Linked DNA regions of Caenorhabditis elegans. The protein of the gene in region 1 interacts with the protein of each later gene in a pairwise test. Each region holds a gene or a part of one and is shown on either strand. Other genes may lie near its edges.

Region 1 (5,139 bases):
AGAAGAAAAGGAACACCGAAATGGGTGAAATTTTCTTTTTCTTTTCATCGTCTTTTATCTTGTTCTCCGACTGCCCTCTGCCACTTTCCCTCACCAGTGATCTGTCAGGCGGACAAGGTGGAAACCGAGGGATTGACAAACACTCTAAGGACACTACGCACAGGAGTGAAGAAGAGTCCGTGAATACTTATTAGTTTGTAGGTCATTTCTACGAAAAAATACAAACGGTTGGCCACCTCGTGAACCCGATCTTTGTACAAGAAGTTAAAACAGTCGAAAGTCGATTTTTGCGTATGCACAAACGGTTGTTTATAGTATAAACACAAACTGATAACTCTAAGTCACCATTTTATCATGACTATTCGCTGAAATTGATCGTTTTGATCTAACGATCCGAATGATTACACGATGAACACCATTCAAAATAAAACTGGCGAAATTAATTTCAACTGCTTTGAAATGTGTAATTGTAGGCTTTCAGCAGATTTTAACAATCTAATGTAGATCACTTCAATATTCTAACACACTAGTCTCATTCAGCTTTTCCACTGAAGATCAACGAGATTTATAAGATATTCACATGACAGTTTCTGGACAATAGAACAAGTGATAACGTCTTTATTCTAGATGCCCGTAGTTTGTAGTCTTTAGAGTTTGTCAAATAGATGTTGAACATTTAATAGGGCGAAATGGGGATCATCGGAACAATAATCGAAAGCAAACGGCTGTCAACTTGAATAGAAATATTTTGGCAATAAGCCAGGTTCTAAAGTACGACAAAAGCCTGCTAGTTCCATTTTGGAATCAACACGATCCTGATCTATGCATTTCTTTTTGAAAAAATCTTTATATAAACATCGAAATGATGATAGAAAATGTTGTAGGCCAACACCGATAACACATGAGTTTGTGGTATTTTGCAAGCAGGCAGGCGCACGAAAGAAAAACCGCAAAAAGCGATGATAAACCGGAAAGTTTCCGGTGATGGGGTATTGAGTTTGCTATAGCACACAGTTTTCTGTTTTCCCGAAACACAAACACGTGGCGCTTTTGGATGTTGAAGTGTGCGCTAGCGAAAGAAAAGAAAGGAGAAATACGTAAAATGATACATTGAGCCTTTGAACTTTCTCGTTGTGTGTGGTTCTCTGTGGTTTTTTTCCTTGCAGAAAAAGAGACGAGACTCATCAACGCAAAAGTTCTCATGCAGTCTGGGAATTTCAAATTATGCAGTTAAGCACAAGATGGGTCAGAGGAGGAAAGCTTTAGTAAAGAGAAAGTCGACGAGTTGGTAATGAGACGAGAGTTTCCACCTGTTTCGGATATACGGAAGAGGCAAAGAAGTAATAACGGAGAGCCGGCTAGCTTGGAAGGAATTATAAACGGAGCCGATCTACCAAGGCGGGTTATTTCTGACCCCTTCAATTTTCCTCCTATTATCGGTTTGTTTTGAAGCGCATCTGCTGTCATTGAGCGCTGCAAAGCTGTTTCGATGGTCAGGCGGAACGGACAATTGGGGATGGATGAAGGACTTCGGGCTTTAAACGATGGACGGAAGACCTAACAATTTGGTGTTCGACTTTTTATATAATAGCTTGATTAAGTTGCTATATAAATCCGTTAAAACTTGAATATAATGTTGCACCACTTGTTCCCGTTGATCTTATAATTGAAAAATCACATCGACTAATTTAGAAATCATAGAAAAGTGAGTTGCAAATTGTAAAATAGAGCTGCTTCAGGTGCACATATAAACTTCAGTCTAGTCGAGAAAAGATGATTACAATGAAGCTTTCTTACAACAAGTATCTCTGGAACGTTGCAGCACAGAAATCCCTTCATTTCTACACATTTCAACGACAGGAGCATGCCAGTCAGCTGTACTCTGCACCTTTCTCCCACACTCTCCACTACTCATGTGTCATGCAACATACAACGGATCTTTGTTTCAATGCTCTTTTACTTGCATTTCCGTTGTCGCGCATGCACATTTATATATATATATGAGAAGTCTGCTCCCAATGACAAGGGCAACCAACTAAAATTATGAAGGATTATTTGACTTTGTTCTTTGATTTTGAGTTTCTTTATTCTAAACTTATGAATTAGCAATGTACTCTATGTCTCTTCTGTATGTAACATCACATTTTTTAAGAAAATAGCGCTGCTCAGCTTGATTAGATTTATCAGACACTCCAGCGTTGTCAAGCAGAAATCAGACAGATGAAAAGTACAAAGTCACAGAGCAGGAGGAAAGATATGGATCAAAGCACAAGACTTTGAGCGAAGATAATAATGAAAGATCAAAATTCAAATTTAATTCGGAAGGTTCAACTTTTTGATTATTTCTTTTTGAATTCCAATTGCAATTTTTTTTCCATACAAAAAACTGCCTATTTTCGGCAAAATTTTGAATTTTCAAAAGAAAAAAAAACTCACGGTAATAAGTTGAATCCGTCCAGTCTAGCGAACTGTAGTAGAAGTTCTGGAGGCAACGATGTCAACGAACCAAGCCCAGTGAGTCCTTAAAACGAGCATGATTGATTAATATTTCAGAGAAAACAACAATTGTTTACGCGAACTACGACTCAATTTCTCCCGCGCATTTCTCCCCCATTTTTCTTGATTGACAATAACAATCTACCGTACCGATTTGTGGAGTCATTGTCGCTGTGAGAATTGGCGTCTGGGATTTCCCGGAGGCCAACGAACCGATGATCGGTGTCGAATTCTGGATGTCAAGACATGATGTTGATGTTGTTGCGGGGGTTGAGAGAATTCCTCGAGCGATATTGATCAAGTCGACTTGAGATTTTAACTGAAAATAAAATATTTTATTGAATTAATTATTAAATTTCATGAATTCTTCAAAGAAACAAGTTTTTCGACTAAAAAAAATACAATTTGTGCGCGCAGGGAACCACAAAAAAGAAACAATTTGTTGAAGAAAATGGTTCAAAGGAAGGCTTGGTCTCGCAACGATTTACCTGCGTTGTGCCAGAGACTACGATACAATTTAAAAAATCAATTTTTTTATTGTAAGCATAAAATTTTATAGAATTCTATTTAATATTAATAGGAAATTTGATATTAAACTTTATAAAATTCAATTTTTATGCAAACCTGTGTCATTCCTTGCCACACCGACGATGCTGATGTTGTCGTCGCTGTGGGCTCATTGATTGGCGGCATTCCATAGAAGATGTCTGAAAGAAATCTGAAAATAGTTGACGTTTCTAATTTTATTAATTCGAAACAAAATTGCGATCAGAATAATGAATAAATTGAGCTCAACAGAGAGCAGGCGAGCACAAGTCGAGTTCTCAAAAAAGAGGCGGGCTGAAGTTTGCTCGCGAGAGCTTTGTAACAAGAGCAAGGTAACCGGAAGGCCATCGAGGAACGAGGAAAATTAGAATACTGAACTGACAAAAGGACCTTGAAAATTGAAAGTATGAGAAAATGGGCGGGGCCGCCGGCAGGAGACACGTGAAAGATCAGCAGAAAAAGGACGGATTGAACGAGAAATCAAATGCGCCAATCTAATGGATTCGCTTTTATTCTTTATCTGTATATATGTATGAGATGTTGTGACGACGACACCATCGGGACAAAAATAATCTTAGAAAACAAAAATTTTCAGCAATTTTTCGCTAATAGTAAATTTTAAAAGGTATTTTTTTAAGAACGTAACATGTTTTTGAAGATGTTGAAATAAATAAATTGATAAAAATTGTAGAAACGTTTTTCACGAAAAATTATCTCATTTCACGAAAGCTTACAGGCTTTTCGAAATGCTTTTCGCTGGAAAAAATTTGCTACCGAAGAATACAGCAAGTGCGCTCTGGTGAAATCCATTTGTGCGCGAAGTTTGAAATTATTTCTACAGTAAGATGAAATCAGAGAAATCACAGTTGTCGAACATTTGTAATACACGATCGTCGCATTATTTGTGGTTTATGGAGCCTCAAAAGAGAATTCAACAGTAAAAATGTGCATTATCGCCACAAATGGAAAACGCGCCTCGATATACGATATTCTGCAGCTAATCACACAAAAATCGGGTGGATATTATACGCAGTCACGAGGGATGTGCAGCATACCGTCCGTTCTGATGCTCAGCAGTGTGCATACAAAAGGGGCTCGAGATGGGATATGTGCACAGCTTCTCGCATAATAACTTTAAAACAGACTACATTTTGGCTATTGTTAGAGATTTTAGAGAAGAACAAAAAATATGAAAATTCGAGAAATCAGGCATTGTGGGTAAATAATTATAACTATAGTCGAAATGAAAAAATGTTTTTATTTTCTGTTATGCTTCAGCTGTTCATCGTTTGATTTTTCTCATAAGACTTTCTCTCATAAGAAGTTGAAAAATTCAAATGTTAGAAATACATTCGTGTCTAGATATTTGTAGACATGTCGCGTTGTTAGGCTCACTGAACACGTGCAAATTTAGCGAATATTATGAAAATTTTCGTAGTGTAGCAGAAAACATTTAAAAATCAAAATTTTCCGAGAAGCACATTAAAAAAGAATACAAATGTGTTCTTTCAAGTATTTGACAGCTTTCGTTTAGGGATTCATTCAAGTCAGCAGCAAGATTTCGGACTTCATGCCTACCTGCCTAGAAGTCATGGATTCAATCCATAAAACAGTGCGTAAATGGCAGGTGCACTTTTTCTGGTATAACTAAATAAACATGAATTGAAATGTTACTGTAATTTGCTTGCTGATATTTGAAGACGTTCATTTAAATGTACTTGAAAGCATTATCAATTGGGAAATAGTTTAAAAAAAAATTTTTTTGCAGTTTTTGCAACCAAAAGTGTAGATGCTCGTTTATCTTAATGACGCGAGTTTGAGTTTGAGAGTTGAGTCTCGCTCGAAATCCGGAAAATAAAAATAAAAAATCAATTATCGCCTTCATTTTGATTATTGGTTTCAATTTAAAACATAGGAAGTAGTTATCTTTGGTCCAAGCCTTTTGTTTATAATTGATTTGAACATGAACAATTGAAAACTTTCTATTAAAAATCAATTCAAGTATCCAACAAAATTTCCTACAATATTCGAAAAAAGAGGCATCATACTGTATAAAATTCGCTTTCATCATAAAAAACAAAAATGGGACAAACGGTT
Region 2 (3,001 bases), on another chromosome or scaffold:
GACACATTTGTCAGATTAATGTTTAAAAAGTTATCTCGATCAAGTCTAGAGTGGGTGTGAATAACACCTAATGCATGCATTAATTCATGAACAGCAGTTCCAAACTGAAAGTTTATGTGATTGAGATCTGTCTATCATTCTTTCGGTGTGCCGTGTTTGGAAAATTTTCGAGTTTTGAAAAATTGTTTTCTGTACCTGTCATCGAAAACTTTCCAAAAAAAAAAAACATTTTCAATGCATTACAATTATCTTGACATTCCCGGTAACTTCTGGTCTAACTTTTGACCTCAACAAATATAAAGTGATACGTTTTCCTTGAATCACTTGAAATGAATGATTGATTTAGTTGGAAATAGTTTGCAGTTTCTAGAAAATGCCCACCACTACCAGAAAATAATCCACTTTTTTCACACTGTTAAGGCAACACATAAACATTAAGTTGGTCGTGAACGCCGAGAAACGGAAATATACATATGTATGTCGAAATGAAAGAAAAACTCACGTCTATGCACGTATCGTTAAATGTTAGATGTTGTACTATGTTATTCATCCCAATGTATGATGAACAGCCTTTACCGTTAACAAGTTGGACCCTGTTAGGAATTGAACAGTTTTCTTCAAAAGTCACGCAAGTTTGTGAAGATATGAAGTTCATGGAGAAAAGCATCAATTCTCGCTTTTCAGTACCTCAAAGTACATGTTTATAAGTTGTATTTCACTACTTCAAAATATAATAGAACTTACTGAATGAAGAATCAAAGCAATATAATAATTTTGCACTACTCGGTAGTTGGCTCCTCCTGGGGCGCGAAGGGGGTGCGACTGGCGCGCGAAAAGAGGTGAAATGCGCCTGGCGCGAGGATAGGGCGTGACTGGAGTGCGGAACAGGCGCGCTCGGATTGTGAAAAGAGTATTCTGAAACTGCCAAAGTGTCTACATAAGATGTATTAATCAATTTCTTGCGAACATATTATTGCTTTGAGACATATTTTCACACAAAAGTGAATTGTGTTTGTTCTATACGTTAATTGTAAACGTTTTGCAGCCATGCTAGTTACTGAAAAACCAAAACTTCAATTTAAATTCTGATATGAGGTTAGAAGAGAACAATATGGTTCATCTTACAAGGAAATTGTATTAAAATCTATCAATAATCGTACTGTTATCTAATGATGTTACGTTATAAAATATGTTCATTTTACCTATGCAGATAAAGTTAAGGCGATGTCTTGAGAATGTCTCCATTAGGAAACTCGCAGCATTGGCATTGTGGAGGCACGATGCACACATTCCTAAGAAAGTTGCCCCTAAATGCCAGGTATATTTTCCAATAGAAAGATATAAAAGATATGTGTAGTTTGTGTGAACATCTTCAAACTAATTTTCTAGATCACATGTCTCGTTGTTGTATTTTATACGTTTAGTATTGTGGCACCATATTACTGAAAGCTGAAAGAGACTAGATTGGCAATTATTATATATCAACTACATCATTCATACATATATAACATATAAGTGAAGAGATATATATATATATATATATATATATATATATATATATATATATATATATATATATATATATATATCAACCTGTTTTGGCAATGAGGCTGTCTGAAAGTAACAGGTTCGCGAAGAGAAACTGTTTTTGCACGCCGTCCGCGTTCTGACCGCGCCCCATCCGCGCCCATTCCGCACTCCTTCCGCACCCCTTCCGCGCCCCGTTCGCGCAACACGAACGACAATCCGTCCAAAATTGGCTTATGTTCGAGAAACACCACTTCTCGATGAGCAGCCTGCGGCTCCTGCTATTCCAGAGTGAATAGAATGAGATTAATGAAAGTGATTTATGGAATGATATAACTCTTGATCAAAAGTGTTATGATATTATCGAACAGATCAACGAACTGAAGGCTCGCCGCGATTTCTACGCAAGATTCTACACCGAGCCCGCAGAATTCATCAAAAGCTGGGTGATGAGCCAGAATTCGGACCTGAAGACTATGAACGAGCTGAGCGGGGATCTTGAAGCCGAAAGATTCGCTGAATCCTACGTGAGACCTGAAACAGAGGAAGGAGTTCAAAGGTATTAATGTTTTTCGGGGGTTCTAGAAATTAAAAAGTTTTTTTTCAGATACATGTTCCAAAAGGTGAACCAGAAGCGACATGAATTGGAGCAAATCTTGGTGTTCGATCAAATTAAGGCTCCATTGCCAAAAAAGAAGAAGTATGTGGACTCAAAACAGGTAAAGAAAAAACGAATTATTGCTAAAGAAAACCAGCTAGTAAAACAATGTAAAATATTAAACGAATAACAAAATGACATATAGGAAACCATGAAATGATAACTTTGAATTAAATTAAGTAACAAAAAATTGATGAGACTATTTTTGAGCTTTGAAGATGCGAAGCTACATATTTGCAAATACGTAGCTTTTGATCAAAACATTTTTGAAGCAATAGGTTGCTCTAGTTGCCGTTTCACGGGCATAATTGTGTAAGTCTATTTTTAAAGATATTTCATTGATTTTTTCAATATACTGACTTAATTAAATAGATTAATTTGAGCTTTTCAGAGAGGATGATGATCAGCAACACCAGTCTCCCGCCGTCTAGGGATCAATTGGCCTGCAGCCAAGCTGTCTTCAATCTGTTAATTTATTTTTTAATTGTTTTTCCATTGTTCGTTGTTGTAATAAATGCAATTCTTATTAATCTAAGATTTCAATTTCAATATGAAAATCGGCGGGAGCGAGAATAAAATCGAACCGGGCGCGTAGTGTGTGCGAAAGAAATGCGCTCGGCGCGCGAAAATTGTGCGACTAGATCGCGAGACAGTAGCCTAGTCGCGCCCCGTCCGCGCGCCAGTCGCACCCTCGTCGCGCGCCAAGCGAGCCAAACTACCGAGTAGTCCATTTTTGAGAAAATGATTCAGTTGCGATTTGTCTTTTCTGCCGGTTTTTCGTTTGTAAAATTAAGTCGTATTGCCTTTTGGTTAGCA

Evidence for each region.
Region 2: the proteins of nhr-66 (region 1) and K03B8.4 interact in a two-hybrid assay, tested with the Caenorhabditis elegans proteins (one large-scale study listed by BioGRID).

The regions. Positions count from the first base shown.
Region 1 is NC_003282.8:8,233,389-8,238,527, forward strand, and holds the start of nhr-66 (Nuclear hormone receptor family member nhr-66), read right to left. Parts: upstream 3,195-5,139; 5' UTR 3,190-3,194; coding exon 3,121-3,189; intron 2,816-3,120; coding exon 2,647-2,815; intron 2,522-2,646; coding exon 2,437-2,521; intron 1,627-2,436; exon of another isoform or gene 1-1,626. UniProt on the Caenorhabditis elegans protein: Transcription factor. Binds to regulatory elements and regulates transcription of target genes, including the potassium channel accessory subunit mps-2. Negatively regulates transcription of mps-2, thereby modulating age-dependent memory decline.
Region 2 is NC_003283.11:11,394,100-11,397,100, reverse strand, and holds K03B8.4 (uncharacterized protein), read left to right. Parts: upstream 1-1,976; coding exon 1,977-2,086; intron 2,087-2,134; coding exon 2,135-2,315; downstream 2,316-3,001. Other genes in the region: Zinc metalloproteinase nas-18, read right to left, coding at 1-104, 503-667.